4 linked regions of the Rhinolophus ferrumequinum genome follow. The protein of the gene in region 3 purifies or fractionates together with the protein of the main gene of each other region. This does not show direct contact. Links are inferred from orthologs where the notes say so. Each region holds a gene or a part of one and is shown on either strand. Other genes may lie near its edges.

Evidence for each region.
Region 1: the proteins of CHD4 (region 3) and SIRT6 purify together in Homo sapiens (affinity purification with mass spectrometry; 3 studies listed by BioGRID, with this or other methods). This does not show direct contact. The link is inferred for Rhinolophus ferrumequinum from reciprocal best matches to the Homo sapiens genes CHD4 and SIRT6.
Region 2: the proteins of CHD4 (region 3) and NUMA1 purify together in Homo sapiens (affinity purification with mass spectrometry; 3 studies listed by BioGRID and IntAct, with this or other methods). This does not show direct contact. The link is inferred for Rhinolophus ferrumequinum from reciprocal best matches to the Homo sapiens genes CHD4 and NUMA1.
Region 4: the proteins of CHD4 (region 3) and TOP2A purify together in Homo sapiens (affinity purification with mass spectrometry; 3 studies listed by BioGRID and IntAct, with this or other methods). This does not show direct contact. The link is inferred for Rhinolophus ferrumequinum from reciprocal best matches to the Homo sapiens genes CHD4 and TOP2A.

What each region holds. Positions count from the first base shown.
Region 1 is NC_046301.1:59,431,107-59,438,516, reverse strand, and holds the start of SIRT6 (NAD-dependent protein deacylase sirtuin-6), read right to left. Parts: upstream 3,063-7,410; 5' UTR 3,011-3,062; coding exon 2,945-3,010; intron 2,014-2,944; exon of another isoform or gene 2,008-2,013; coding exon of another isoform or gene 1,993-2,007; intron 1,256-1,992; coding exon 1,128-1,255; intron 1-1,127. Other genes in the region: ANKRD24 (ankyrin repeat domain-containing protein 24), read left to right, coding at 6,221-6,256. UniProt on the Homo sapiens protein: NAD-dependent protein deacetylase, deacylase and mono-ADP-ribosyltransferase that plays an essential role in DNA damage repair, telomere maintenance, metabolic homeostasis, inflammation, tumorigenesis and aging.
Region 2 is NC_046294.1:47,675,438-47,683,062, reverse strand, and holds the start of NUMA1 (nuclear mitotic apparatus protein 1), read left to right. Parts: upstream 1-4,573; 5' UTR 4,574-4,660; intron 4,661-4,687; exon of another isoform or gene 4,688-4,804; intron 4,805-7,625. UniProt on the Homo sapiens protein: Microtubule (MT)-binding protein that plays a role in the formation and maintenance of the spindle poles and the alignement and the segregation of chromosomes during mitotic cell division.
Region 3 is NC_046293.1:23,841,640-23,849,258, forward strand, and holds the start of CHD4 (chromodomain-helicase-DNA-binding protein 4), read right to left. Parts: upstream 3,028-7,619; 5' UTR 2,874-3,027; intron 1,991-2,873; 5' UTR 1,908-1,990; coding exon 1,808-1,907; intron 1,533-1,807; exon of another isoform or gene 1,401-1,532; intron 234-1,400; exon of another isoform or gene 104-233; intron 1-103. UniProt on the Homo sapiens protein: ATP-dependent chromatin-remodeling factor that binds and distorts nucleosomal DNA. Acts as a component of the histone deacetylase NuRD complex which participates in the remodeling of chromatin.
Region 4 is NC_046304.1:36,816,665-36,824,519, forward strand, and holds the start of TOP2A (DNA topoisomerase 2-alpha), read right to left. Parts: upstream 3,022-7,855; 5' UTR 2,902-3,021; coding exon 2,881-2,901; intron 2,016-2,880; coding exon 1,860-2,015; intron 1,644-1,859; coding exon 1,553-1,643; intron 1,275-1,552; coding exon 1,211-1,274; intron 1-1,210. UniProt on the Homo sapiens protein: Key decatenating enzyme that alters DNA topology by binding to two double-stranded DNA molecules, generating a double-stranded break in one of the strands, passing the intact strand through the broken strand, and religating the broken strand.

The sequences.
Region 1 (7,410 bases), on a different chromosome or scaffold from region 3:
ACTGCTGCTGCACTGAGCCTGGCTCTGTGCCGGGGGTTGCTGGGCCCTAGTGGACCCAGGCCCTCCCTCCAGGAGTGCTTCTCTTGCCAGGGGAGACAGGGGGACACAGACCCTTCCGCCCTGTGGGCTGGGATGGCCCAGTGGAGGCAGTGAGGGCTCCGTGTAGGGTCTGTGGGAAAGCTTCCTGGGAGGCTGAGCTGTCTCTTGAACTGTGAGAGGGAAGGGCACAGAAGTTCAGGCACGAGCGGTAAGCAAAAGTCTGGGAGGCTAGCAATAGCCTGTCAGTTGGGGAAATGCAAGTGGTACGGGGGCTGCAGCAGGGGCAAGAGGGGCTGAGGTTGGAGAGATGACCCAGGGCTGGGTCAGGTAAGGCTTGGAACTCTCCTGTGTGGCAATGGGGAGCCCTGGCAGGTTATGGAGGAGGGGTGGGAGAATCAAGCCTTAGAATTCTAACATTCCTCTAAAGAATCTGCTCTCTTTCTGTGGGAGCCTGGGCTGGGGGCCCAAGAGGCCTTGGAAAGAGAGTATAAATGCAACAGGTCTGTCCTTTGCGGCAGGGTTGCAAACTCAGCACCTGCAGGGGCCACCCAGGGGCCAACTGTTTGAAACCCCTGCTTTTCAGCTGTAAGACTCTTGTTACACAGGTTGCCTGAAGCAGAGAGGGGTTTAGACATTAACTGGTTTCATACCCTCATTTATGGGCGAGGAAACACGTTCAGAGGATTAAGCCACCAGGTCTGATAGAAAAATATTTTCAAGTGAGTATGGGGCTAATTGCCCCTGATATTGATTCTCCCCATCTTCTAGAGTAATAGTACCCCAATATTTAGACATTCACAGTGTGCCTAGATGAAAACTACATTTGCCAGCATCCCTTGTAGCTAGGTATGATCAGGTGACCAAGTTTTGGCCAATGGAGTGAGTGGGATGTTGGCTGAGACTTAAAGGAACAAGTCTAAAAGGGAGGGGTCTTTCCTATCCCCAACACCCAGGGGAGGAAAGACTATTCAAGATTCACTGAGGGGAAGGCAGCAGGATGTGTTCTGAGGCCCGGGCAACTGTGGCTCACAGGGAAGCCCTTGGAAGTTAACAGGTCCTGCTTCAACTTTCCCTCCACACCCACAGACCTGAAGTCGGGGATGCCCGCGGCAGTGCTGATGCCGGCACCCGTGTGGACCACCACGTTGGAGGACTGCCACACCAGCTTTGCCAGCTCCCACACCTTCCGCTCCAGCTCCTCGGGGGGGTCAAAGATCTGTGGTGTGAGAGAGCAGAGGGGAGCGGTCAAAACGTGTCCCTTAGTGGCAAGGCCACTGGCCACAGAAGAGCTGCCCCCACCTTGCCCACGGGAGGAGAGTGGATCTGAAAAGGAGGCTTATTGTCATGTCCCTCCTCTGCCCACAGCCCTCCAGGGCTCCTACCTTTCTCCGGGTAAAAGCCCAAATCCTCCCTGCAGCCTGCTGCCTAAAACACTCTTTCCTCAGACTCCCTCCGCTCACCTCCTTTAGGTCGTGGCTCAAAAGTCACCTCATTTGTACACCCAGGTTCAGAGCAGCACTATTTACAATGGCTAAAACATGGAAGCAACCCAAATCAATCAATGGATGGATAAACACAACGTGGTCCATCCATACGTTGGGAAATTATTCACTTTAGAAGGAAGGAAATTCTGACACCTGCTACAATGTGGATGAACCTTAGAACATTGTGCTGAGTGAAATAAGCCAGACACAAAAGGACAAATATTGTGTGATTCCACTTATATGAGGTCCCTAGAGTAGTCAGATCCATAAAGGCGGAAAGTAGAATGGTGGGTGCCAGGGGCTGGCGAAGAGAGAATTAAAGTTTAAATGGGACAGAGTTTCAGTTTGGGAAGATGAGAAAGTTCTGGATGGTGGGGATGGTTGCACACCCTTATTAATATACTTGATACCACTGAATGTACACTTAAAAATGGTTACGAAGTTAAATTTTATGAAAGATGTATTTTACCACAATAGAAAACATTGAAAAATGCCATCTCAGTGATGTGTCCCTGGCCACCTGGTTTCAATGCAGCCCCCAATTCTCCTCACCACTGCCAGCTTTACTTTTCTCCGTAGCTCCCATCTCACTTATATTTATTTGCTGCTGTCTGTCTCCCCACTGGAATGAGGGGTTTTTGCCTATTTTGTTTCCTGCTGTGGTCCCAGGATCTAGAAAGTGCCTGGTGGTACAGCAGGTGCTCAGTAAATGTTTGTGGAATAATGTGAATACAGGCAAGAGAGGAGTGCCTTTTCAGGAGGTTTCACACCATCTGAGAACTCCTCAACTTCCCGACTCAGGACGAACGGACTAGCTTTCAAGGGATGGGGGCAACCTTCCCCCAGCTTACAGAAGGGGAGAGGAGGCGCAGAAGGGAAGTGACAAGCCCCAAGTCTCAGTGTATGGAGGGGACTTCCTCTCGGAGTAGCTGGAGGGGTCTTTCTGACACATATTTACATCCATCCAGGTTCCTTCCCAGCTCAAAACCTGTTTCCATCACCCTCAGGATAAAGTGTCAATCTCCCAGGCTGGCATTTGGGGCCGGTCCTGACCGGGACTCTGGAAACCTCTCTGGCCTAATCTGTTCCCCCAAGTGTGTTTATTCCCACCTATCTCCCTGCCTTTGCCCCTGCAGGGCCCCCTCCGCCTAGAACTACATCCCCTCCTCCCCTATCGGAACTTCAGGACTTCCTCACGACGGTCCTTCCCTCTGTGCAAGCCTCGTGGACCCGGAGCTGGGCGTCTTCGCGTCCCCGAGTATGCTGGGGGCGTCACTTCCCGCCCCCTCCTCACTGGGAAGTCCCTCCCATTGTCTAGCCTCAGTGCCTCCTGATATTCCCACAATGCCCCGCTGCCGCCCGGCCCCGCCCGGTCCACCACCCTAGAGGGGGAGGCTTTCCGGTCCTCCCGCCGCGCTCACCTCGGGGAGGCCGCACTTGCCCTTGTCCGCGTACGGCGACAACCCCGCTGCGTAATTCACCGACATTCTCACCGCTCCAACGGGAACAATAAAGTTTCCCTTGTTGAGGCCACTTCCGCCGGAAATAGGGCTGCACGGGGAGGAACTAGGAGTCGCCGGCTCGCTCCCACCAAGGCGCATGCGCCTCACGTTGACGCCGCAGGCGCCATCTTAATTGCTGGTTAAAGAAGCCGCCTTACTTCTGCGAGTTCGCGTGAGACGGAGGGGGCTGTGACCCGGCCGAGAAGCTGGGGCAGCTGTGCGCGTGAGAGTTCTGCAGTCGCCTCTAAAAGGAGGAACACAATCCATTTTCCCTTTTTACAAATTAGTAAAGTGATGCTCCACTTCCACTCCTGCATGAGGGTAGAATCAGAGAGAAGGGACCCAGTCCTAGGTTCTTTCCGTTGCACCTTTCAGACATTTGTAAAGTTACAAGATAAGTTATAAAGTTCAGGATACCTGTGGCACGGAGCAACGTGGGGCCTCATTAGGGGAGGTCTTGGCCAACACTCTAAGTTATTTGAATATTTTTCAGGTGGATGGTAATCTCCACTCAGTAGGACAGGTCCAGACCACCAAGAGACTAGAGAAACTGCGCAAGGTCATTGGGGCTGGTGGCCTTCAGGACTCATTTAGGAAACACGTGTTGAATACCTACTGTGTGCTGAGGAGGCACTGGAAAACAAAGGTGGCACCTTGTGGCTAATTAGGGACACAACCCAGTGACTGGGCTGTCGTGACTTAGTGTGATTGGGGAGCAGTGAGGGCGCCGGGGAAATGCGGGAGCTCAAAGGAGGCACCTGACCCAGCCGGGGGCAATTCGGAAAGGATTTCTGGAGGAGAGGGTGTAGCAAAGATCTGAAGAGTGAGTAGCAGTGAGATGGGGAGAATGAGCAAGTTGGGGGTGACATGGGGTACAGAAAAAGTGTTCCTGGCAGAGGGAACAGCAAGTGTAAAGGCTGAGAGGAGAGAAAGACGGTGGCTCATTCCAGAAACTGAAATCAGTCCGGTGACGATAGGGAAGAACATCGGTGTCTTCCCGCCAGAGCCGGTTGGCCAACAGGCAGCCCCGCTGCCAACCTGTCTCCTCCCTCGGCTCATCCCCGGCCCCCTGGGGCAGCTGCCCGCTCAGAGGTGATCGGGTGTCGGAGCTGAGCGCACAGAGCTGCTGGTACGAGCTGGTGGCCCAGCTGGGAGCAGGTAACCGGAGCCAGCAGTGAACACGGTGGCCTGGTGCTGGAGTCACTGGAGCTGCAGGAGGTAGGAGAGGAAGGAAGGGAGGGAAGCCTGGGCCGGGGGCTCCCCTTAGGGTCTGAGGCTCCTTGTCCCTGAGCCCTGATATGTGGGAGCAAGGAGAAGCCCGTGTGTGTCCCAGCCACGCTGAGGAGCCTCTTAGGCGCCCTGACACACACACACAGTGGTTCGTGCACGCACCTCCCGCTTCCCAGCCTTGGCCTTGTCTAGGGTATGGACCCTGTTTTCCTGCTGCTGCTCAGTATCCTGCCGGCCTTCAGGCCCTGCTTCTATAGCATCACCTCTTCCAGGAAGCAGCTCCCTAGCTGAGGGCACTTCCCCCTCCCCCAAGCTCACAGATTCCCTCCTGCCCAGGCAACCTGTGGACTCCTCTCTTGGGTGTCTTATTACACTCTGCTCTGGGTGTGATTGAGTCCTTTAGACAGGGGCAAAGACAGGTGGGAAAGGTGGTGAGCAAAGCAGTACATTGAGTGAATGGAGTGAATTAAAGGGTGAATGAATGGATGGGCAGTAGATGGATGACTGGGTGATAGAGTGGATGGATGGATGGATAGGTGGACGGACGGGAAGGTGGATGGATGGTAAGTCGATAAGTCAGTGGAGGGTGGATGAGGATGGATGAGGGAATAGATGAGTGGGTGGGTGTTAGATATGTGGGTGAGCACATAGGTGGATGTGTAGGTGGATGGATTGATGGGCAGGTAGATAGGTGGGTGGTTAGGGGGGTGGATGGATGGATGGATAGGTGGATGGTGGGTGGTTAGGGGGCGGATGGATGGATGGATAGGTGGATGGTGGGTGGATGGTGGGTGGTGACTGAAGCATAGTTGAAGGGTGCATGAAGGACCATGAGAAAAATGAGTTGGGCAGGTGAGTTGGTGGGTGGGTATACAAGTGCTTGGATAGGGAGGTGGATGTACAAATGAGTAGATCGGTAGGTAGAAAGAAGGAAGGATGGCTTGGAGAAGTCACGGGCAGGTGGACAGGTGAAATCCTGTTCAGACACAGGAAAGAATCCCTACCCACACACCTAGCAACACATCCCTTCAAGACATCCCTGCCTGATCTCCATACCCACATGTGCATGGAACACAGAACAGGCCAAGGTGCATAGATGTGCATGCACACACACACCTCATGCTTGTGTGTGTGCACGTGCATGCACACATTTATCACCCCAGACCTCCGCCTGCCTTGGGTGACTTGTGTCTAGTCTCTCACTCACACAGAAGTCAGGCTGGTGTAAGGGATGTAGCTGCAAGGACGTTCTCTCTGACGATCCAAGAAACATACCTCTGTGCTAAGAGCCTCCGCTCTGGGCTTGGCCCCAAGGAGCCCCTAAGTATTCAGAAAGATTGAACCAGCTCAGACACCTTGAGCTTGTGGAGCCATGGCTGGGGCAGGAAAAGGGACCCAGCCAGGGCTGGGGGAACCCAATTTGGGGGGTTAGAGCTCTGCCTGCTGGTGAGAGGCAAAGTTGATCAGAGCACGGGGTTTTGGAACTAGGCTGTGTAGGATGAATAGGAGTTCACCAGAGAAGGAAAAAAGAAAGGCAGGTAGAAATTTCTAGGTAGAAATAACTGCACAGATGAAAGCTTGGAGACGAGAAAATGCTTGATCTGCTTGGGCCACAGGGAATACTAGTGAAGTGAATTATTGAGGACCTGTTAGCTGGGCCTGTGGTAGGGACCTCATGGAAAACTGACCACGAGATGGTCAAGAGGGGATTACCTTCCTCATTTTAAGGATGAGGGATGTGAAACTTAGAGAGGGCAAGTGACCTGCTGAAGGGCACACAGCAATTAGGAGATGCAGCAGGTAGGTCTCTGTCCTGCTGTAGGTGCTGGGATGGCCCAGTGAGGGGGAAGTGGTTCTTTTGAGGAGGGGGAGGTAGCCGACCCTCTGGCTCACCAGCACTGATGTCCCTCACCCCCTGCCCTTTCCCAGGTGGCCTGGGTTGCAGAGAAACACCAGACACTGGCCATGAAGACTCTCCGGGCACGATTTAAGAAGACAGAGGTGAGTGTGAGGCCACTGAGATGCCTGATGTCCCGCAACCTCAGGTTCCTGTCCTCCAGGGCCTGAATGAAGATCCACAGGCCTTGTGGGCTGTTTTCCCCCACCCATCAGATTCTTTTAGCAGCTTCCACATGACCCTCTCTGCTCAACACTCTTCCATGGTTCCTCACCACTCAAAGGTTCAAGTTTACCCCTTTAGCCTCTGGCCACCTCTCCTTCCCTTTCTCTCTACTGCCCCCTGCTGCCCCGATGTCCCCACTGCTTCCTGTTCAAGCTTTCTGGCCACCATACCTTTTCCCAGGCTGCTCCCTCTACCTGGAATGCCCTCTCCCCATATTGCTGCCTGTCATACCCTCCCCGTCCCTACCAAGTTGGCTCCAATAACGCTTCTTCCAGAAGATCTCTGCTCTCCCCAACTACAGTGACCACTTGCATTTCTGAGGACTCACTTTTTGGGGGACTCTGATCTCTTGCTTTTGTCTATTTATTCAGCACACATTTGTATCAGGCACTGTTCTAGGCACAGAACAGACATCAATGAATAGGGCAGACAGAAATCTTTGCCCTCTAGAGCTGAAAGCCTGGTGGGGGAGGTGGACGCTAAACAAGATCGATGAGAGAAAGGCATATTTTGTGTCATGGAGCAAAGAAAGCAAAGAAAGGAAATTGGAGTGTCCAGGGCAGGGGAGAGCATTGCGATTTCAAAGCGGCTTGTCAGCAAAGTCCTCGCCAGGAAGCTGATCTTAGAGCAAAGATCGTAAGGGAAAGAGAGAGGGCTTCGTGTGCTTATTTGAAGGAGTTGAATTCCAGGGGTAGGGAACAGCCAGTGCGAAGGCCCTGAGGTGGGATCGAGCTGGCTTCCCTTGCAGCTATATCTTGGAGTGTGAACCTCTGGAGGGAAATGCTTCTTCCTCAGGCACCCCTACTCCTTCCTGCCCACCCCCAGTCCCTGCCTGTGTGGGGGCTGGTTCAGGGCACAGATTAAGAGACCTAAGTGAGGATTTGCATCTAGAGTCAGGGTGGCCCTCTGTACTGGGCGTGGTCAGGCTTAATTTCACACTCACGGCACAAAGAAACCGAGGTCCAGAGAGGTTCACACACCATTCCCGGTCACAAAGCAAAGTGGCAACAGTGAGATGCAAACCTACACGTGC
Region 2 (7,625 bases), on a different chromosome or scaffold from region 3:
GTGCCGGCTGCCCTGTGCCTGACCAGAAGGGATGAAGCCAACATACAAATAATAGAACCCTGTCTGTCATGAGCACAGAAAGGTCTGCTGGGTTTCTATTGGTTGTGGCAAACCGGCCTGTATCCAGTTCTATGAAACAGTTGCTTACTTAGTGAAGACTCATATCATGTTATAATACTCAGCTCTAGTATTCCCTCTTCGATGAAGAATTTTTTTCCAGATAAAATCGATCAATGTGTCCTGTGTTAGATTGATTCTCTTAATCCCTATTCATGGTCTCCCATTTCCATCCCTTTTGCCCTATAACGTTTAGTTCCATTCACTCTGATGCTGGGCTCGGCCATGTGACTTGCTTTGGCTAATGGGATGTTGGTAAACATGAAGCAAATCGAAGCTTAAAAGAGGGCTTGCACTCTTGCACTTTGCCAGTGCCAAGAGAACATGGCTAGCCTGCTGGAGGGATATGAGGAACACGTGCAGGTGAGAGATAAGTGAAAGAGAGCCAGTGATCCCAGCTGAGACCACCCAGACTAGCCTAATAGCCAACCTACCCCAAGTCAAGGTCAGGAGAGTCACCCGGCCCACAGGTGGCTGCAGACACGAGAGGGCCCAGCCAAGGCCAGAAGAAACTGAGGCAGAGACTTGAAAGCAATAATGCTTATTGCTTTAAGCCACTATACTTTTGTATGTTTTTTTATACAGCAGTAACTAAACAGACAGATGCCCCCACTGTACTTTAAACAAAATTTTATCACAGCCTGTTTCTTCATCTGTAAAATGAGAAAAACCCCATCTTGAGAGCTGTTGTATATCCTGCAGCAGGTGCTCAATAAATTGAAGCAACTGTACACTCAACTCATTTCTTTGTAACCTACTTCCCATTCCCTTCCTGTAGGCTTAAAGACAGGGATAGAAGTCAGACTTCTTTCTCACTTCCCACCATTACCCTGTAGTGAGCCTGGCAAAGAGTGGGTATTCACTAACGGCTTGATGGATAAATGGAAAAATGAAAGAAGAAAAGGAATAAATGAATGACGTCTTCAAGGTGTCAGACAGTGAGCCTGACTGCTGGGGAGAACTGCCAAAGCCCTAGTCTGCCTTGCTTATTCCGGTGCCTGTGTTTTTGGATTCAGTCTTTCCCAGCTGCTGTTCTGCCTCATGACCAGGAGCAAGTCAGATCCTGGGCCGCCTTCCTCATCTGTTCAGACTGATGGACTTGAATGACAGGGTTAGGGGCATACCTGCCTTGTTATGGAATTTTTCTTTTCCAAATTAGAAATATCTTTTACTTTTTTTCTTTTTTAATTTTAAAGTTAACATGATAGCTGAATAAAGTCAACAACATACAGAAGTACATCAAATGGAAACTAAAAGCCTGACTCTCTAAAAATGATTAAGTTTGGGAATATACTCTCCTAGAAGACATATGTAACAAAATTATATATATTTTAAAATAAACACATACTGTCTATTCCTTTGTAAACTTATTTTTTCCTTTTCAAATTGTACACTCTTACCCTTTTTAACAGCTGTATTCCATAGAATTTGTGTGTACCATACTTTATTTAACCAATCCCAAGTTGATGGAAATTTGTTTTCAGCTTTTGGAAATTACTAACAACTGGAATTTCATTTGTTAGTAGCCTATTCCTTTCCTCTTCCAGGTAAGTAGCAACATGAAGCTTTTAGGAAACAATCAGATGAGATCAGATAGGAGGTTTAACAGCCTGGCTTAGAGAGGGTTTCTGTTTATGAGTTACAGGTGGAAGTAAAAATCAATGTCATGAAAAGTCTGCCAAATTACCGAATGTGTTCTGAAAGGTTATGTTTCCAGGTGCCAAAGGGAGGCCCAGATTCAACCTGGCTCCTGCCCACCTCTCTGCTCCCGTCTCCTATCCTCTGCTCCAATTCGGCAGCCCAGCCAAATGCAGGTACAGGAAGTTCCCTCCGCTGCCTCTGGGTCTCTGCACATCCAGCTTTCTCTGCTCCGAATAGTTTCTTCCTCCTTTCACCTTGCTAATTCTTCATGACTCAGCTCAGGTTTCACCTTTTCTGAGGCGTTTACCCTTATGCCCAAATCTTAGATGTGGAACTTCTCTTTTGGGCTCCCCAAATACCCTATATGTACTGCTACGGTAGCACCCATGACACTAGGGTGCTCTGCTTACTATCTGTATGTCCATAAACTGCACCAGGGCAGGAACCATGTTTTTTTTTTTCATAGTTCTATCCCTACCACGGTGGCAAGTAGTAACTGCTTAACAAATACATAAAAAATTGCGAGTGAATAATACTACAAAGGAGAGGAACATGAGGTTACCATAACTGAGGGATCTGACCTGGTCTGAGCAGTCAGAGAAGACATTTTTAAAGAAGTGATTGAGAGAAGAGATTGAGGAGAAATACAAATCAACTATAGAAGGGGGGAAAGATGAACACTCCAGACAGAAATAACAGCATGTACAAAGGCTCTATGGGTGAGAAGTTACTTTAAAGAAGGTCATATAACTGGAGGGAAGAAAGGGAGGGATATGTATGGTTAGACTGGAGGCTGTAGAGGTGGATGGGAGCCAGGCTGCGATGTTGATTGATGCTAAGAGCAATAAGAAGGTCAATTCTGAAATGGGGGTGGGCGGGGGGAAGTGAACAGTATCAAATTTACATTTGATATGGATTACTCTGGTTGCAATATGCAAAATGGCGGGGGGGGTCGGCTGGTTAGCTCAGTTGGTTAAAGCGCAGTGCTCTTAACAAGGTTGCTGGTTCGATTCCCACAGGGGCCACTGTGAGCTGCGCCCTCCACAACTAGATTGAGACAGCTACTTGACTTGGAGCTGATGGGTCCTGGAAAAACACACTTAAATAAAAGTTTTTAAAAAAATGGCTGGGAGGGAAGGCAGGAAAGATGTGATGATAGGACTATAGAAGTAAAGCTGATAGGACTTTATAATGGATGGGAAATATAAGAGGAATTAAGGATAACACTTGGGTTTTTTACTTCTTTAATGGTGGATACAGGTGAGAACACTGGAAGAGACTCAGGTTTGGAGTACATGGATTATGAGTTCAGTTGCAGATATGTAGAGTTCGAGTTGTCTTTGAAATATCCTGAAGGAGCCTAAGGGGACTTTAACAGCTCAGGAACCAATCAGTAAGTGGACCAATCAGGGCTAACTAGAAGCCAGCCAGAAACCAGCGAATCATGGCAGTATCAGATGTAGGTGCTGTGTAGCCAGACTTTCCTATTTAGTTAAATGTTTTCCATTGTCTTCAGTCTCTAGTTTTCTTTCCCATTTAAACTTTTAAGGAAGGATGTGAAACTCATTCAGGTTGATGTGTACATAATCCAATGTGGGCCACACAGGTTTCTTTTCTCTGGGCAATTCTGACTCGTTGGAACAAGTCTTAGGCTAGAGAGGCTGTAGACTCAAGTTACAGACTTGGCTGGAAGTTAGCACACTAGGGTCTAGTCCCGGCTGTCACTGATTTGGTGTGTGGCCTTGGGCAAGTCACTGCACCACTCTGGGTTTCAGTTTTACAATCTGTGAAATGGGGATAAATATCCTTGACTCGTGAAGCTCAAAAGAGACACTGGATGTAAAAGCGCTACATTGCTAAATGTAACAGATCTGTCATGAAGACTAAAAGGAATGAAGCTCTAACCATGGAGGTTAGAGAATCCCATCATGGAGGGTGTAGGGAAAAGCGGTAATTTGGGGACAGGATCCCTAGTAAGTGTGGAAAGATCCCTTTGAGACTGAGAAGCAGGCTCTACCCTGGAGTCTTCTTGCTTGAAAGGAAAGGGGCAGTGCAAGCCCCATAAATTTTCATACGTCTCCAGTATTAGGGCCTGTGTCTTTTTCTGATATTACTCCCATGTCTTGAAGAGCGTCTCAGTTCATCAGGAAAACTAACCCTATATCAGGGCGTTTCAAATATCCCACGCTGTGTCAGAGATTTGAGGCATTCGTATTAGGGGGCCCCATGTTTGTGATGGGGCAGGTTCTTAAGCACTCCCGAATCTGTACGGGTATGTCAGCGCCCTTCTCTCTCCTCCGCGCCCTTCTATTCCGTATGGGTGTAGAGTCTTGTCCACTGTGAAAGGAGGTAAGGGTTTTGGGGGGGAAGGGGTCTCTGGTCCCCGAGAAAAGAAATGACCCTCCCCTCTCCATAGAGCTTCTGTTCCCTGGAACGGGTTCCCTATTTTCCCGCTGGACTCACCCGCAGTTGCTGCCCTTCCAGCCTTGGCGTCCCACTCACTACCTCAGGGTTACCCAGCGCAACTCCATGGTAACTACCTTCGCTAGTACATCTCGGCCAGGCGCCGTAGGCGCTGCCGCGATGCCTACCGGGAGCTGTAGTTCGTCAGGGGCGGGGTTCTAAGGCCGCGGATGTGCTGAGATTTGTAGTCTTTGCTCTCAAGTCGAGGCGGGGGTCCGGAAGTAGTGACACCCCTTCTCCTTTCCCAGTGGCCCTCACACTTCCTTTTCCCGGGTCCTTAAGCGTGCCCTTGCGTGCATACCAGCCGACAGGAGCCTATCAGAGGGCGGTGCGAGGGGGCGGGGCCATAGTTTAAACTAATTGTGCGCTCCGCGCTGGCGCGAGCCCGCGTCAAACGCGATCGGAGGAAACGGGAGGCGGAGCGGGAGCGCGCGGCCAGGTAACCGGCGCGGGCCCGCGGTTGGCGTTCGGCCTGGGCGCCCACAGGAATGCACAGGCCTAGAGGGGGTGCTGGAGAGGCAGGTGCCAGCGATAGGCCTCCTGCGTAACGGAGTCTGACTGGGGAGACTCTATTGGGAGTAAGGTTTGTGAGGGGAGGGGTCTGTCGGAAGGGGAGGGGCTGGGCGTGCTTGGGGGGAGGGGAAGAGTGCTTGGGGGCGTGTCTGTGGAATTATGTCTGAGAGTGACGGTGGGGGGTGGGCGTGGGTAGGGCAGATTCCTGAAAGACTCGTCACGAGGGGTCCTTTAATGGGAAGTCTTCGCCTATTACTAACAATAGTAGTGGTAATAGTAGTGGTAAACATTTTCTGAGCACCAGCTACGTGCCAGACACTGTGCCACATGCTTTGTATGGATCGTCTTGTTAATATTGCTAACAACCTTATTATACTTTACTGCAGATGGGTCATCTGAGGTTTAACTTGGCCAGGATTACATAGCTAGTGCATGGTCGACTACTGGGGATTTTGAGGGTTGGGCCTAAATGAGGACCGGAGGGAGGAAGGGCTTTGTCTGTGGGTGCAGATTGTCTTGGAGGAATCAATTTATTTTGTCTCACTTTTCATATATGTAAACAACGAACCTACCTGCCTTACCTACTTCTTGGGGTTGTTTTGAGGGTCAAATCACGTAAGGTGTTCTGTGGAAGCATCTTGGGGAGTATAAATTTATGACTATAAAGTTACTGTGAAGGTTGTTGGTGGGAAAGAGCCCTCTCGGTGCCCTCTTTTGCTTCCTGATGTAGCGCTTTTCATCTAGTAACCTAAGAGTGTCTGTCTGCATGTTTGCCCTTCTAGAAACAGTGCCCTTTGTCCCTGTATTGTGATGCCTATGGCATGGCCATTAATGCATGCTTTGAAATGAATGAGCTTTCTTGGGCTGAAAGGGGATAGGAGCCTGGCTTTCCCATTTTCATTTAGTGGCCTTTGAACCTTTATTAATACAGTCCTCTTGCCTGGAATGGCACTGCCTCTTGAAAATGTGATATATACTTGCTTTAATCCATGCTTCGCTCTCTGAGGTCTGTTGCCTGATCTTGTATTTCCAAAGTTCTAGATTGTCAAGTGTGTTACTCTGTGGTAGGCAGAAACTTTTGATAGTAAGGGAATTGGGGCCCTCTACCTTGGGGAGATCTGTATGGGAACTTGGAGGGAATGTTCAGATCATTTAAGGTAGCTTTCAGTCAGCAGGGATGAGTGGATGTGTTCCCTCCGTCTGTTCCTGTGTGGTATTTTCTCCTGTAGAGGAAGAGGCACATACAAGTACTTCTCTGTAAAAGGACTCTTGACTCAAATTCAAGCAAATGATGACTAATTGTAATGCCAGAATTTTTATCTAAAGCCAAAAACTCTACCCCACCCCCAAACTAGAAGATCTTACCCAAAAGTTCACATAATAAACATTTCTATTTAGAATATTCTTTTTTAGGGGATCAAATATATGGTGATGGAAGGAGAACTGACTCTGGGTGGTGAACACAAAATGTGATCTATAGACGATGTAATACAGAACTGTACACCTGAAATCTATGTAACTTTACTAACAATTGTCACCCCAATAAACTTTCATTAAAAAAAAAGAATATTCTTTTTTGTTTATGGAATATGGGAGTGGGAAGAATGCCTAGAAGACTCAGCTTCTAGAACTCTTAAGATGGGGGCAATGCCCTGCTTCAGATGGCTAAACAGAGCTGATCAAGGAATGTTTGACAGCTGTGTCTAATTGATAACACCTTACGGTCAATAGATATGTTTGGAATCATTTATTTCAGCCTCTTACCCAGTGTACACTAATATATGAAAAGATGTTGTCCAGGGGTGGCCGGTTAGCTCAGTTGGTTAGAACCCAGTGCTCTTAACGGCCGGGATTGAACGGCCCAGTTCAATCCCCATATGGGCCACTGTGAGCTGCGCCCTCCATAACTAGATGAAACAACTACTTGACTTGGAGCTGATAGATCGTGGAAAAACACACTTAAAATAAATAAAAGCTTTTTTTTTTTTTTTTTAAAGATTTTATTGGGGAAGAGGGACAGGACTTTATTGGGGAACAGGGTGTACTTCCAGGACTTTTTTTCCAAGTCAAGTTGTTGTCCTTTCAGTCTTAGTTGTGGAGGGCGCAGCTCAGCTCCAGGTCCAGTTGCCGTTGCTAGTTGCAGGAGGCGCAGCCCACCATCCCTTGTGGGAGTCGAACCGGCAACCTTGTAGTTGAAAGGACGCGCTTCCACCAACTGAGCCATCCGGGAGCTCACCGGCAGCTCAGCTCAAGGTGCTGTGTGCAATCTTAGTTGCAGGGGGCGCTGCCCACCATCCCTTGGGACTCAAGGAATTGAGCTGGCAACCTTGTGGTTGAGAGCCTACTGGCCCATGTGGGAATCGAACCGGCAGCCTTCAGAGTTTAGGAGCATGGAGCTCTAACCGCCTGAGCCACCGGGCGGCCCCAAATAAAAGTTTTAAAAAAAGGTGTTGTCCATATTCGAAATGAACACTTACAAGAATGAGACCACTCAGGCAGTCCATATCAACGTTGAGCAATACTAATTAATAATTATTGTTATGTGCTGTTGGTGACAATTTTATTTTACCCATGTATATTTTCTTTTAAATTTTTATTGGGGAATATTGGGGAACAGTGTGTTTTTCCAGGACCCATCAGCTCCAAGTCAAGTCGTCGTTTACAATGTAGTTGTGGAGAGCACAGCCCACTGGCCCATGTGGGGATCCAACCGGTGACCCTGGTGCTGTGAGCACTGCGCTCTAACCAACTGAGCCAACCGGCTGCCCCAACCCATGTATGTTTATTCTTTGTTTTTTCACCATTCTTTCTTGCATGTCATTCCATCCTTTTGTGTCAAGCAGACAAATGTATCCTTCAAGTGTTTTTGTTTTTTAGTGACGATCTGTTAA
Region 3 (7,619 bases):
CCCATTCCCTTGGGAATGGAACACCAGCCTGGATCTCACCAGAAAGAATCATTTTCTTTAAGGGCTTTGCCCCAACAATCCCATGTTGCCCTCCCCCCCCCGCCCCAGTCAGCTACAACTCTGGGTTCTTCCTCTTCACCACCTCCACAAACGCTGGACGTGGACACAAGGACAAACCCAGGGAGGCAGAGGAGACACCCTCCCATCCACTGAAGACCCCCCAAACTTCTCAGGTAAGCGGCAAACTGGCTAAAATACGATAGAGGATTTGGGAAAGGGGTAAGAATGGGGTGTGGCAAGTGGAAAAACTGGGTCATACTACAGCTTGGGACAGAGTTCACCTGTGGAGCCCATACAGCTCCTAATCCACACAGGGGCAGCCCCAGACCAAGGGGCCAGTGGGAAGCGAAGACGGGCAACCAGCATTGGCTCGGTGGCACTACTACTTCGCATGCCCCTCAGCAAGGACAGGCTCACCACCACCCCACAACCACCCTGGGCAACATTACACAAACCGGCTACCCTGCCCTGTACACTGAGGAAACTCAAACCTAAGTTTCTTATCCCAACAGCTGAAGACTCAGTAAAAAGACTGAACCCTCTCCTAAGTGGCCTCAAGGTTGACATAAAGACTTCCAACTTAGAAAATGCCAAATGGGGAAACATTTCTCTCCCAGACCACCTCAACTTGCCACTAGAGCTGAGAGAAAAGGCAAAAGTAAAAGATGTTCCATGGGAAACAAAAACAGGACCAGCAGTCTCCAGAATGAAAAGAAAAATATAGAGGGGATAAAGAGATGGCCCGTAGACAAAATGAAGCTAGGAAAAAAAGGTCAAGGAAACAAGTAGGTGACTTAGCCGGGGTCTCTGAAGGACAGATAGATGAAAGAGACATCTACTTAGAAGCATGACCTCAATTATCATTTGGGGGTAAACAAGGGCTACTCCAATCAGACGGAGTGGTTATAACCATACGGGTTTGGCCAGTTCAAGGAGCCACCCCAAAACAGACAGCACAACCCCCAACACCACCTACACAAACACTTTACACCACCAGCCCAAACCCCAGGCTACCTGCACAGCAGAAGAGAAGCCTCTAGGAAAAAAAAGCGGGGATTATGTCCACTTGCCAAGGGAGGAGGGTGCCCAGGGTGTCACCTCCCTTCTTTTACCCCTCCTAGCATTTCGTCCAGGTTATTACATCCTACCCCTAAGCCCCATCATTTCGCCGCTCAAAACATTCCAGCCACCTGCCTGGCTAAAAGCTCTCCAGATCCCAGCTAAGGAGCGCAATTCAAACTTCACACAGTTGAAACAGCGCAGAAAACCGGTAACGGATCAGAAGCTAAAAATAATCAGATAGAGAGTAACCACCACTCCCTCTTTCCTTTCCACAGCAGCAACCCCAGAATCCTAACCAGCACAGATGTGGAGCTGGTCTGTTTAAAACAGCAATCTTCAAGCCCCTACCTTCCACCACCACAGCCTCCAGGGGTCCCAGCTACCTGCATTCCTCCAAGGACCCACACGAGGTAAGGCCTGCCAGCCCAAAGAGCTCCCTCAACTGGGAACTGCATAGCATTCCTTAAGACAGTGCAGAAAGCTTGCATTTGGGTCCTCGGAGCCCAGAAGGCACATGGCTTCCACCCCCTCCCACAAGAGCTCTGCAGAGGGGAACCACTCCCTTCGGATGCCCTCCACTTCAGACTCTGCAGAGAGAGACAGAAACTCAGCCCTGCCTCACTAGAGTCACTCGTGAGGGCCCAAAAGCCTCCTTCCTGCACTGAGCCTTAGGGGAAGATGTTACCTGGGTGGGGTGGGGGCAGGCTGTTGTTCAAAAGTGCATCCATATCCTCCTCCTCGCTGCCAGCAGAGCAGGGGGACGGGGAGCCCAGGCCCGACGCCATCCCCTTCCGCTCCGCTCACGGCCAGGGAATTGGCCCAGCTGCTCCTGCCTGCGGCCTGGGGCCCTCTACACTGGCCCGAGTCACTGTGCGGGGGAGGGGGGGGAAAGAGAGAACAGTCAGTGACGCGCAGTCCCCCTCCCCCACCCCCACCCGCTCTTTCCGCCCACCACCACCACCACCACCACCACCACCGGCCCCCCCCACCACAGCCACCCTAGTGGGGCACCCGAACCACTCAGGCTGAACTTAGTTCCACACTCCTCGGGGACAGCCCGGAAGCTGGTTACCCCACTGGAGCCCCCCAGATGAGAGGCAGCGACGCCCCCGAGGGCAGGCTGGTGCAGCCGTGGGGAGCGAGGGGGGGAAGCCCAGCTGGACCGAACGGGGTGTGACTGGGGGGAGGAGGGTCCGAGTGGCCGCAGCGCGGGGGGGGGCCACGGGAGGCGGCCGGCGGCGAGGCGCTCGGGGACACAAGGTCACTTGGGGGTGGGGGGGCACCTCCCTGCGCCTGGGGAGGGGCCAGTGCCCAGACAGGGCAGCTCTCCAAAGGCTGTCCTCTGGGACAACTCAGGTTCTCCCAAGGAGCCGCAGGGACGAGGGGGCGTGGAGGTTCGGGCGCTCCGGGGGGCTGCAGGCAGGAACTTACGGGTCACAGGGCTCCCACCCGGTAGGGGGTCGGGCCACGTGTCCCGGGGGGCAAGTGAGCAGAGGGTGTGGGGGCGGGCGCCGGGCATTGTGGGAGACCAAGCCCGAGGTGGGAGTCGCGGGGAGCCAGACTGACTGGGTTGGGGTGGGAGGAAGGGGGCTAGACACCCAGCAGGGAAGAGAGAGGAAGGGTCGGCTCCTCCGGGCAGGGGGCCGTCCGCGGGTCGGAGGACGCCTGAGAAAGGGGCGGGTGGAAGGATGACCCTCGGGGCTGGCCGGGCTGAGAGGGGCGTCTCTTTGGGAACCCCGCGCTCTCCTCACCCCGGAGCTGCCGCAGGTCGCGCAGGGTCCGGCCCGGTGTCACTCCCGCTTCGGCTCCTCCTCGCCGCGGCCGAAGGGGGGAAAATGGCTCCGGCTCCGGCGTCGCCTCTTAAAGGGCCCGAAACACCGGCCGGGAAATCCCACCGCACAGGCCCCGCCCCCCACGGACAGCCCATAATAACCTCAACCAACTCCAACCCCCCTCCACTACCGCCACCCTCCTCCCTAGGTCTCCCGGGCAACCCCCGCCCCCTCGTCGCTCTGGCAACCATTGGCCACGCCCCCTTCGAGCGCGCGCGCGCGTCACCCGGGCAACCACCCACCTCCTGGCCATCCCATAATACACATGGACACCCCCCCCAACACACACACTCATACACACATATATGCCAGAGCTGTTGACATCTTATAATATTGCAGACCTTCTGCAACTAACCCTTCCCCCCCCACATCCCATAATAGCCATCCTTTGCCAACTTCTTCACTCTTGGCCCTAATGCTAACATCCCATAATAATTCGTCACCTCTCCCTCCCCGTGGCCATCCCATAATAAGCACCCCACCCAGCACTTCAGCCTCACATCCCATAATACTCATCCCCATCCCCCACAGACATCCCATAATAACCACTCTGCATCCACCCCCAGTTTGATATCCCATAATAGTCAGAAACTCACCCCCCCCACCACCACACACACACTGCAACAACGGACACTTGGGCCTCCTCCCACACACATCCCGTAATAATCAGTCTCCCACTTTCTATACTGACATCCCATAATAATCAACCCCCTGGAGCTGCCCTCAACCCCTGCAGGCTAGGGTCTAGATCCTCTCACCACCACCCTCAGCCTTCACACACTCAATATATTTCCACAGCCCATAATACCGTGTTTCCCCAAAAATAAGACCTAACCAGAAGATAAGCCCTACCATGATTTTTCAGGATGACATCCCCTGAACATAAGCCCTGATACGTCTTTTGGAGCAAAAATTAATATAAGACCCAGTCTTATTTTCAGGAAAACACGGTAAGCACTCTTCCCCATCAAAGAGATATCCCATAATGATCTGCAGTTTTGTCACCCTACAGACATCTAATCTCCTTTTCTCTAATACTGGAAAGGTATTCCATAATTTTTACTCCCCACCCATAACCTGACATCCCATAATAACTTCAAGGAGTCCATAGTCAACCAAACATACCATAATATTCCCAGCACAACCCACTACCACATCCCATAATGCTTCATCTCCACTCCACCACCTCTATACCTTTCCAGCCAGGCATCCCATACTATTCATACCTCCCCCATCTCCAGATGCTGTCAATGTATTCTAACACTTAGAGCAGCCAGGGTGAAAACAAGCTACGTACACTGCCCTGTCCCTGCCTCAACTTGTACACACCTTTATCCCTTTCTGGACCAAAGCAGTATCCTAGCATAAAGCCTCTTGATGTCTATGAGAGACCCTACCTTTCCAGATACTCAGGAACTGCCAGTCAACCTAGGTCCCTACTAAAGTCCACCAAACTTCAGGTTTCTCCGGACACTTACCTCCAGCTCTTAAGTTTTGAGTAAGACCAACCAAATACCATGCTGGCCGGATGAGCCATTTACATGTTTACATTCACCCCAAGCGAATTTAATTCACCCCAAGTGAAAGTTTAATTCACCCCAAGCATCCCATAATAATTACAAACTCCCATCTAAAGACTATTTCTCAAAATTCCAGCAGCCCTCTCCCCACCCACCCCATCTCCTGAGTTAGGTGCTCCATTCATCAACACCCCTATTGCACTCTGATGGATGAACATCCATCCCATCATGATGGGATGAGGATCCTGCTATATACATACAAACAGACAATACCTGCTCTCCCTCTACTCACTGCTACTCACATTCATTCAATAGATGTTGACAGAATACCTAGCAAGGCACAGAGCTGGGCACCATGGGGAATGCAAGGGCCATAAGTTCCTCCTTCCAAGAAGTATAAATCAAACTATGAGGCCAGATAGAATGTCTGGTGTCAAGTGAGAAGAACTAAGTGTTAGTTCCCAATTTCCTGTTACAGAGAATGAAACAAATCCCAGGAGAGATCGCACTCCAGTAGACGTTCTTGGTGGTCTTTCCAGAGGCTAGAAGGTATTCCAAAACAGATGGATAGTCAAGATAATCTATCTGTTCCCTACATACTAAAGGATTTTGATTGGAAAGCAATGTTCATGCATCCAGCATTTCTAATACTGAAATTCTGTATCATCATGTGCTTCCTTCTTGAGAGATTTATCAGCATGCCAGAATTATTATCCTCATTCTTGAACACCAAATTCTGCTTACCCTCAATGTCCCATATGTTTCAGCCAGTTTCTCATTTTGTGTCCTGAAGTCTCATAATACTTTCAACTGCTCCCATCCTCATCGCATGGAGGCCCTATTCCCCACTCCCCTCCAAAAAAACCTTTGTTGTATAATATTTACCATCTTCCCCTCCCCGTGTACAAGTCAACATTCTAGGATGCCTTCGTCATTCAATTATGCCACAAGGTAGCGTCCCAACATATCCATTCCCTTCCCTAACTGTGCCTACCCTGCAGGCACACGGGGACTGAGCCTGAGAAAGCTGGAGAGTGCCGTCTTAAAACTCTTTGGCCCTCAGAGAACCTGAGCCCACAGGTCTGTCACTTTTCCCTTTCCATGAGTGAAAACTAATGTCCCAGCACCACTGCCTTGCTGCCCCTTGGCCCCCAAGCCAGAGGTAATGTCTTCCTCCGCTCTCATGTGCCTTTTTCACACAAGTCCAAGACCTATGGCAGTGGGACAGGTTGAAGAGAAACCGGAACTTCCTCCTAGGAGGGGCCCTTCCTGACCAGAAGTGAGTGGGACGAACCTCATACCATCTCTGCATTGCCCTTCTGATCTCACTTCTCTAGAGAAAGAGCCTGACCAGATGATTCTCCCCTCCTCTAGGAGCCACAGAACTGGAGAACTGGCAAGGAAGAATGAGTTCAGGAGAGGCAAAGCTTGCTTCAGGAAATCAGTATCCCTTTGCTTCCAAGCAGACCACCAGTGATGCTGATGAGTCTTCCCACCAGCTCCTGCCCAGCTTAACTCCCTGGTCCACGCTTTTGCCACATCCATTGTGGTGTGCAGGCTGTAGCTCCTACTTTGCAAAGCTGCGGTCTTCCTCATTAACTTCTCTTGACTTCAAGATTGGGCCCCATTTATTTATGCAAACCCTCCTCCATGATTATTCTGCATACCAACAATGAGCCTTGTGTTCTTCACCTGGAGGAGAGGAGGCAGCTCTTTTAAGATACCATAATGTGGGCATACCTCCTTTCAAGAAGATTCCCCTATATAGAGCCATCAGACACCAATTCTGTCCTCCTCCCTCCCCATTTCTCTAGGGGATGCAGCCTGCCTCTGGGCCTCATATTCCCTTCTGTAATATCTCTATCGGCTCCTTTTCTTCTCATATATATTACCACATTACTACAGTGATTCGTAATACAAACCAGGAAGAGTTTTACAACTGGGTAGTCACAGCCTCTTGCCTATAATGGCAAACACTGATACCTGTTGTGCACCACAGCCCTCTGCCTCATCCCTGCAGGTTCTACCCACTTACCCCCTTGCCTCTCTTACTCTCCACCTCTCCCTAACACCACAAGGAGAAGGCTAAAGTCCCTTCCTCTCTTCTTGAGTTCCAGAGAGGGCTAGGATGTGTGTGTTTGTGTGTTGCTTTTGTGGTCTTTATGTATCCATGCTCCCCCTCCCTACCCTGGCCCCATGCTATCCTCCCAGATAAATTATAAATAAACCACTAGCATGATTGGTCCACAGAGACTAAGGGTGGGATAATCTCCTGATTAATGCACCCAGGGGGGACAGCCTCTCTAGCCGGTTACCTTAGAATTTTGTTTCTAGCCCATGGTACATAAGAACCTAGAATAACACTCAGAGTGGTTGTCCTTGGAGTTTTCAGCACATGTTCTGTAATTCCTCTCTCTACATCTCTGTTCTGTGTGAGCCCTAGAAACTCTGTAAGAGGTCTAAATGACCAGTGTTATCCTGATCTGTTAGAATAAGGGGTTTGGGGAAGACAACATAAAAAAGAAAAGCCACAGTGACAGTGCACTCTGATGGCTAGACAGGATGCAGGTAGTGCAGGGTTTGGGGGGTGATGGGCCAGGCGTTTGTCCTTCAGGAGCCAACTTAGTCTCTATTCCGTGATTGTGAATGCAAGGCGGCAAAGCTCCCCTGGCCCAACCCCCATACCTGATATGGTCCCAAGGGTCAAATCCAGGAAGGTAAAGAGGGAGGGAGGTATTTGGGTACTGTGCTCACCCAGGGGCACTGCTCCCTTTGGTGTGCCACACAGGCGTTTTCACTGCCAGCCCAGCACTGCAAGTCCTGGACTCAGCAAGTCTGCAGCTCCAAGCTAAGGTATGAGCTACAAGGACCCAGGTGTCCAGGGTTCAGAGATGGCTAGCTCTAGTCAGCCCTAGGGGCCGCTTCAAACAGCTATCTCCGAAGAACCTCTCCAGCCAGTTACTCTTGCCAGGCCTCAGGTCTGGCTCCAGGGCTCACCCACCCTCTCCAGCTCCTTCCCTCCTTCTTCCTTCCTGTCCTTCTCCCCCACTCCTTCCCCAGAGCTTCACCTACCCAGGACAGCCCCACCCAGCTGTTCAGGGCACATCCCATAATAATCCTCCTTGCTATCCCCTACCCCCCCCAA
Region 4 (7,855 bases), on a different chromosome or scaffold from region 3:
ATAATACCCTCTAGTTCATCCATGTTGTTGCAGAAGGGAGAGCAAGGAATTGAAAACCTGTTTGAAAAAATGATGGAAAACTTCCCTAACCTGGTGAAGGAAAGACTTACGAGCCTAGAAAGCACAGCGTCCCAAACAAGATGAACCCAGAGGCCAACACTAAGACACATCATATTAAGATGCCAAAGGTTAAAGACAAAGAGAATTTTCAAACCAGCAAGGGAAAAGCAGTTAGTTACCTACAAGGGGGCTCCCATAGACGAAGTTGATTTCTCAACAGAAACTTTGCAGGCCAGTAGGGATTGGCATGAAATATTCAAAGTGATGAAAAGCAAGGGCCTACAACCAAGATTTCTCTACCCAGCAAAGTCTCAATTTCTTTATGATTCTTTTTCATATATACCCTCTGAAATTCAGCATGAACTACCTTTCCCACCATGCTTAGTTCCTGACACTCCTAAAATAGGAGCCAAGAGGAAAAAAAAAAATGAAACCTTTTCCAACACCTGGGCAGACACTGATAATGTTGAAAAAAACATGAAATTTTAAAATGTTAAAATAAACAAAGGGAAATGATTTATGCTCAATGGAAAGAAAAGAACATAATTTGGAAACAGTATTACACTGCTTTTGAGAGGATCTTCTGTACTGTCCTAGCTCTCTTAGCCTTTTCCACCCAACAAAGCTCATTGCAAAACAAATGTGAAAGGGAAAAACATCATTTGTAAACTTCTTTGCTTGCCAATAAAATACTAAAAATTTATTTGGACTTTGATTAGGCTAATAAAAAGGTGAAACAAGCATCCTGACCACCCACAAAGGGATCATTTATAACCAGAAATGTTAGATCTCTATCACCACCTTCTGGTTTACTATTTGAATAGCATCATATGAAAAAAAGCTCTAGATTGCAGAATACTTTGAGCAATTGTTGGAGATGCTTACTGAACTATTTAGGGATGAAGTGCCATAATGTCTGTAATTTATTTTCAAATGCTTCAGAAAAAATATAGCTGAAGCAAATATGGCAAAGTGTTGATAACTGCTGGATCTAGGTGGTAGGTATCATAGATTGTTCATTTTAGCATTCTGCCTTTCTGTGTTTTTGCAAACTTTCATTTTAAGAAAGCCAACTTCACTATAAATCTAAGTAAATGCAACTAACAGAACAATGAACTATAACAAACAAAAGACTAAGCAAGAGACTTACGGGTCAATTGTGACTCTAATACAAGACATTTTTGGATCCCTTTGTTTATTGTCTGCAGCATTGACTGAAAGAAAATACACATTTGTAAGAAATTGAAGTATTTATAAAAAAAATCTTTAACTCTTAGAAAGCAAAAATCTCAAACGCAGTAGCATTAATGAGGTGTTAATTCAGCAATTTTTATTCACAGTACTGTTTCTAGTTAAGAATTCAACTTCACTGTCTCACCTTTGCCAACTATTGTTTGAAATGACAGCTCTGGCTACATAGGGTTTGCTAGGAATTATATACTTCTTATGAAGGATTTGACCAGAAGATCTTTATGTGAAAGAATTTACTTACCTAGAATTTCATCAAAGATTTTGTACAAACCAGGAACAAAAGTGACTTCCCTGAAATTCATGCCAATATCTTCATCATAAACCCACATTTGCTAGAAATAAGGCAAAGAGATGCAGTTATTTTTACCCTATATTTATTCTGTTTTATCATCATGATTACTGGAATAAGTTTTCTGGAATATATATATTCATATAAAATAGACTAGGCCAGTGCCAGTGACACTCAAAGTACATGAAGTATAGAAAATTAACCTGGAAAAACACACATTTTAACTACTTAGTAACTGCATTTAATTAGCTTGTTTTACCTGGGTCACTAATTCCACAGAGCCAATATAGGTGTCCGGACGGAGCAGAATATGTTCCAATTGCGTTTTCTTTTGATAGATTCTTTCAATAGATAGTCTTTTCTTAGCATCTTCATTTTTCTTTGTTTTGTTCATTTGCATATTTTCGTTTACAGGCTAGCAATTTAAAAACATTTGAAGCAAAGGGAACTTTAATCATAGGTTTATCAGAAACTATAAACAAAACGTCTACCTTTATGATATGCTTAAACACTATAACAAATCGCCATCTTTAATGAGTATTGGTGGAGTTTACATCGTTTTGTACAAACGTGGCAATTTAAGTTAACTGCAGCCAGGTACCCAGGTTACATTTTAAATGGACATACATCTCATCTCACTAAATGTATCTGGTATGGAAATATTTTCCTTAAGGGCTTTAGATGTCATCAATAAAATACACCCACTTATTCATCTACTCCATCTACTATGTGCCTACTGTGTCCCAGGCACATAGTAGATTCTAGTTCAGCAGCAGCAGTTTGGGAGGCTATCGATTCAATCCCTTGGCCACGTTAACGTTGTGAACACAGAAGGACGTATTTTGAGCAACTAGGGCCTGCCGGCTCATTGGGAACACTGTGCCTTGCTCTGCACCTTCCAAGGTCAAGGACATTCAATTCCATATTCAGCAGGAGGATAGCAGAGGAAAGCATCAGGAGGCGTTGTTTAGTCACAAGTGGACCATTATAGTACAGATCTACGATAGGACCAGTTGCTTCCTGTCCCTAGAAACAGTAAAACAAAACACAACACCCTAGAAGCCAATTTAGTCCATAACACTTCAATATTACCACCATAAAGAGTTTCACCCTCGTCACGATCACGCCGAACCCAGGAGACCCGGGTCCACACGGAATACAGGCTCCCAGGCCGCCGCGGCCGGACGACCGCGAAGCCCAGGAGCTTCACTCCCTCACTAGCAACCAGAGATATCGGGCCGCGCTAAGGCTCCACGACTCGCCCATTTCGCGAGTTGTACCTGCAGTGGTGACACCTCCATGGTGACGGTCGTGAAAAGGCTCGAGAACCCTGCAAGAGACTAAACCGGCGGGACCCACGAGATTATCACAGGACAAGCCGCTTCTCCACAGACGCTGGTCGGTTGGGAGAGCAACTCCAGTCCAATTTGAACTTCCCTCTAGCCCGCCGAAACGAGGTAAACCAATCCCTGATTCGCTCTCACCGGTTCCGTCCTGAAGAACCAATCGTAGCTGGTCTTTTATGTTCTCCAAGGAACGCCTGTTCGAATGAACCAATTAGGCAAGGGAGACGGGACTAGAGGGTTTTCAAACGACACCACTTTGGGTCGTAGCGGAGGGATCGACAGGGAATCTGGCCAATGAGGAGGGCTCGTTTGTCTTCGCAGTGCAGAAAACTCGGTGGACCGCGCGGTGGAGGTAGGAGGGGGATTTCTGAGGTGCAGACTGGCATAAAAAGAGGAAAGAAAAGGTTTCATTCCCCAGGAACTGCTAATTTATTTCAGATCCCTGAAAGCTAAAAACGATCCTGTGTCCCAAGGTTTTTTAGCGAGAAGAACGAGAGTCCTAGCTCCATTTTCCTGAAGAAACAGTGCTGGCTGGCTTTGTGTACAGGAAGCCTGGCGGCGATTTGATTAAGCGAACACAGGTTCTGACGTCTGCCTCAATCTCCTCTCCCCTCCCCTCCAAGAATTTATTTTCAAAGAAACGAAAGTGCTACAGTTGTGGGTTTTCGTTTTCATATAATAGAAAAATGTAGAGAGGCCGCGCGAAATAGCCTTCGAGTCCCCCAGGAGAGGGGCTTTAGGCTGCCACTGGGGTAATTTATAGTTACCGCCTCAGGAGCTGAGGATGGCTTAGGGGCCCATTCTAGTACTGAGTTTTTTTGGGGTTCAGACTGCCAGTAGGATACCCTCGTGACTTTTGCTCCCTGTTAAGTTCCCTGAATTCTGCAGTCCAAAACAGCTGTTCAGGTTTGATGAGGAAATGCCAGATTGAAGTTTTTCTTGAGTGGCTTTCTTTTTTCCTCATCAATTCACAATGTTAAAATGACCAAAACAATGTTGTTGCCCTTACAAGATGCTAGAAAAATTAAGGAGTGCACAATTTGCATGGCTACTGATTCCATCTGACCCAGCTCCTTCCCTGAGTTTCAGTCCTGGCTGGACAATTTGACAGTTGTGTCATCTTGAGGGAGGCAGCTTCTCAGTCGCTTTCATTTCTTCTGCTGAAAAAGGGAAATAAAAATAATAGTATTACCTCAGCGTTGTGTGAAGATTACGCGAGATACATGTTTAGGATAGTAGGCTAACAGTATCTGAATCAGGAAGCAGGAATTTTCCTTAGGCTGGCATGACAATTTGTGGATTTAATTTTTTTTCTTCTAAAAGAACCAGAGGGCCAACCAATTGTTAAATCACCCAGGCATATTTGATGCCCAGCCTGTTGGCAGAGCTCTCCAGGGAGGGCCAATGCGGAGGGGGTGTGGTAGGACGTGAAGTCCGGGATGGAAGTAGCCCACTGGGCTAGAGTGATTGGGAAAGCCGAAGGAAGGCTGCTTCGGCATGGCGCTGGTCCCTTCCTCTGGTCTCCTGGCCTCCCGTAGTTCCCAAGTGTTCTCAGCTTCACTCTGCTCACTATATGTGTTGATCAGAAAGGCAACGTCCATGCACAGGACCACCAGGGTCTCAGAGCAGTTGTGGGGAAGCCCATCCTGTAGCTTCTGCCCACCCAGAGGTTGAACAGGTCTTCTCATGTCACTGCCTACAGCTTCCCCAGGACAGAGGAGGACCCTGACAGAGACCAGCCATGCTGCCTTCTACCTCCTGGAACACAGAGCTCCAAAGTGGTAGGGGTGGGTGGCCATGCTTCCCCTAGGATAGCAGTCCAGCCTCTGTCCCTCTTGCCTCCACCCTGTTGCTCATCCTAGCCTGCAGTACCCAGGAATTTAATAAGCAGCTCTAGCCCTATTTTCTGGGACCCACCTTTAAATCTGCCCTGCAGTTTAGCCTGATCCTGTTCCAAAAACCTGGAAGCAGAACTGTGGAGTCTAAAGGACTTTGGAGTCACACATGCATGAGTCAGAAATCGCTCTGAGCCTCAGTTTCCCCATATCATTATCCTTTATCAAAAGTACAAAGGGCTAAATGACATATGGAAGCACCTCGGACAATCCTTCTCCAGCCCTCTAGCACAGAAATTTCTTCTCTTGATCATGAAAGAACCCCCACTTCTCTTCTGGACATAAGCTATTTCTGTCAGCCTGCCTCCTTCCTAGAGCCTCTCACAGGGGCCCTGCAAGACTTGTGGGGGTCCACTGAAAAGTCCAGGACAGGTGGGCCTGGGATGTATTGTCCATAAAGAGGGAATTCCAGGTGTCTGCAATTGTGCAAAGATACATGTACAAGATTATTTATTGCAATATTGTTTTTATTAGAAAAGAACTGGCAGCTATCTAATGGAAGTTGATCTAGGTGTACTGATATGGAAATATCACTAAGACATATTAAGTTTTTAAAAAGTGAAGGAAAGAATTAGAACATAATCCCATTTAGGTAAATGTTTATGTGTGCGTTGAAAACATCTGGAAGGAATCGTAAATAACTGGAGGGGGAGGAACACTTTTCATATTTTCCTTTCTATCCTATTTGATCATTTAAAAATTGTAGACATGTCTTATTTTTATAATGTAAAAAGTTAGCTTAAACAAAATTTAAAAGATTTTCTTCTGTAATTGTGGGCCCTGATAATTCTCGGTGTTCATGACCCTTTGCCAACATGTGACTTTCTAAGTGTTTGTTTTCATATACTCCCTATACCCTTTTCACCCCCGACCCTTTTCCTCACCTCACTGAAGGCCTATCTGTCTATACAAGTTTGTGTGAGAATGTGAATTTTGTAGATAGAGATAGAGTCTCAACATACTGGGGGAACTCGCAGTTTAAGTAAACCCAGTGGTGAGGACTCAGTAGGAAATCTCAACCTTTGCGCCAAATTGAGGGACAGAGTATTGTGGTGGGAAGTCCTCGCCCAGTTCTGCTGTCACTAGTCTCATGACCTTGGGTAAATCTCCTCCTGTCTCTAGGTCTCAGTTTCCCCACCTGTACACTGAAGTCTAGGTAGCCCAGCTAGAGGAGTGGGTTGCAAAACGCCTTCCACAGAGTCTAGAGAGGGGGTGGGATGGGCCCAGATTCTCCAACCCAGAGCAGCTCCACTTTCATCTTTTTACGTGTAAGAATTCTGTTCTGTGTAAAAATGGCAATCCATTACTTATATTTAGAAAAACCCCTGTGAATTGAGTTGGTTGAAATCAGGGTATGCCGTTATCTTGGCTTCCCCTTCCCTGCCAGTGCCCAGCCCAGAGCTGCATAGGAACGAGCTCAAGCCCACTGGGGCTGGGGCATGGTGTCAGGGAGGTGAAGCATGGTCTCTGATTCTTTCCACTCCCTATGTGACACCCCTACCCCTTGCCTCCTGGCCTAGTAGCATGGCTGATGTAACCTTAAATCTCTGCCAGGGTCCCAAGACCTCCTGGTTACCTATCTCTAGCACCTGTGGCTACTAATGGCAGCAGGTGGAACTGGCATTTGGACTTGGCATCTTTGCCTCCTGGAGGCTTGGTCAGCAAAACCTGGACAAACACAGCCATGAACCCCTCCCTTCTCCCTCACCCCCAGATTCTCCAGCTCCTCACATCCTTCCTCTATAACCCACAGAGTGGAAGTGGTCAAGGGAGTGGGATAGGGAGGACTTCCTCTCTGACAACAGAGGCCAGGGCTGGGCCTCTGCTCTCTTGGCTTCTCACACGAGAAGGGGAGGCAGAGCTGGACTGGATTGTGTGTCTTGATGGGCAGGCTACCTGAATACTCATTCCTGGTACGTTTTACGGCACTCTGGAACAGAGAAGGTCATCACTGAAGAACTCTGGGTTAGAATTCTCCACGTAGGAAGAGGAATAAAAAAGGACATCTCGGGGGTGTCTTCTGTCTGATACTAATCTGATAGTTGTCCCCCCTGCTGGTACTTCCAGGGCCCCCTCACAGTTGATGTCAGAGACCAGGAAGATTGGTAAGTGGTGGAGTGGAGTTAGGAGCAAGTTATTCACCAAAAGGAAATAAAAAGCTATGCCCTTCTGTTTGTAATTAAAGACAAAGATGGTATTCCTGAAAGGCCTGCAGCTAAGTGCTGCCTACATGTTTCTCTTTCCTCCCTGTTGATCATGAAAGAAAAGAAGCTACATGAGCAGAAAAGTGGGAATTTACAGAGAACAGAGAAGACTGTCATTTGGAGCAGGTAGTTCGTCCTGTTCTCACGAGATGAGCTAGAACCTGCTAGAGGAGAAAGCCTGCCTGGGCTTTTGAAATCAAGTTGTCTTGAAGCACTCTGAATGTCTAAGAAAGAAGTTTTGACCTGGCAAATAAACATTTAGGGCAAGTGTAAGGAAGTATTCTATCTGAGGTTGGGAAAAAAAACCAGGATAAGATTGGTCTTTGATAGGTAAGAAAGACTGATTTTTTTCTTCTTTTTTTATTAGTTTCAGGTATACAAAACAACATAGTGATTATATTTTTATATACTTCACAGAGTGATAACCCCAATAAGTCTATTACCCATCTGACAGGAGTGATTTTTCAAAAAGCACAATCAGGCGAGAAAATGTAATGTCGTCCCTGTCTGGAATAGCCTTTGCTTGGAAATGACCTTTGCAGTGGGTAATGTTCTGGCTCAACTTGCTATGCTATGGTGTGCAGTTGTTTGGTCAAACACTAGTCTACGTGTTGCTGTGAAGGTATTTTGTAGATGTAATTAGCATCTACTCTCAGTTGACTGTAAGTAAAAGGATTACCCTCTATGAGGCTGGTGGGCCTCGTCCAATCAGTTGAAGGACTTAAGAGCAAATAACCTGAGGTTTCCCAGAAAAGAAAGAATTCTGCCGCAGGACAGTAATACAGAAATCCTGTAAGAGTCTCCAGCCTA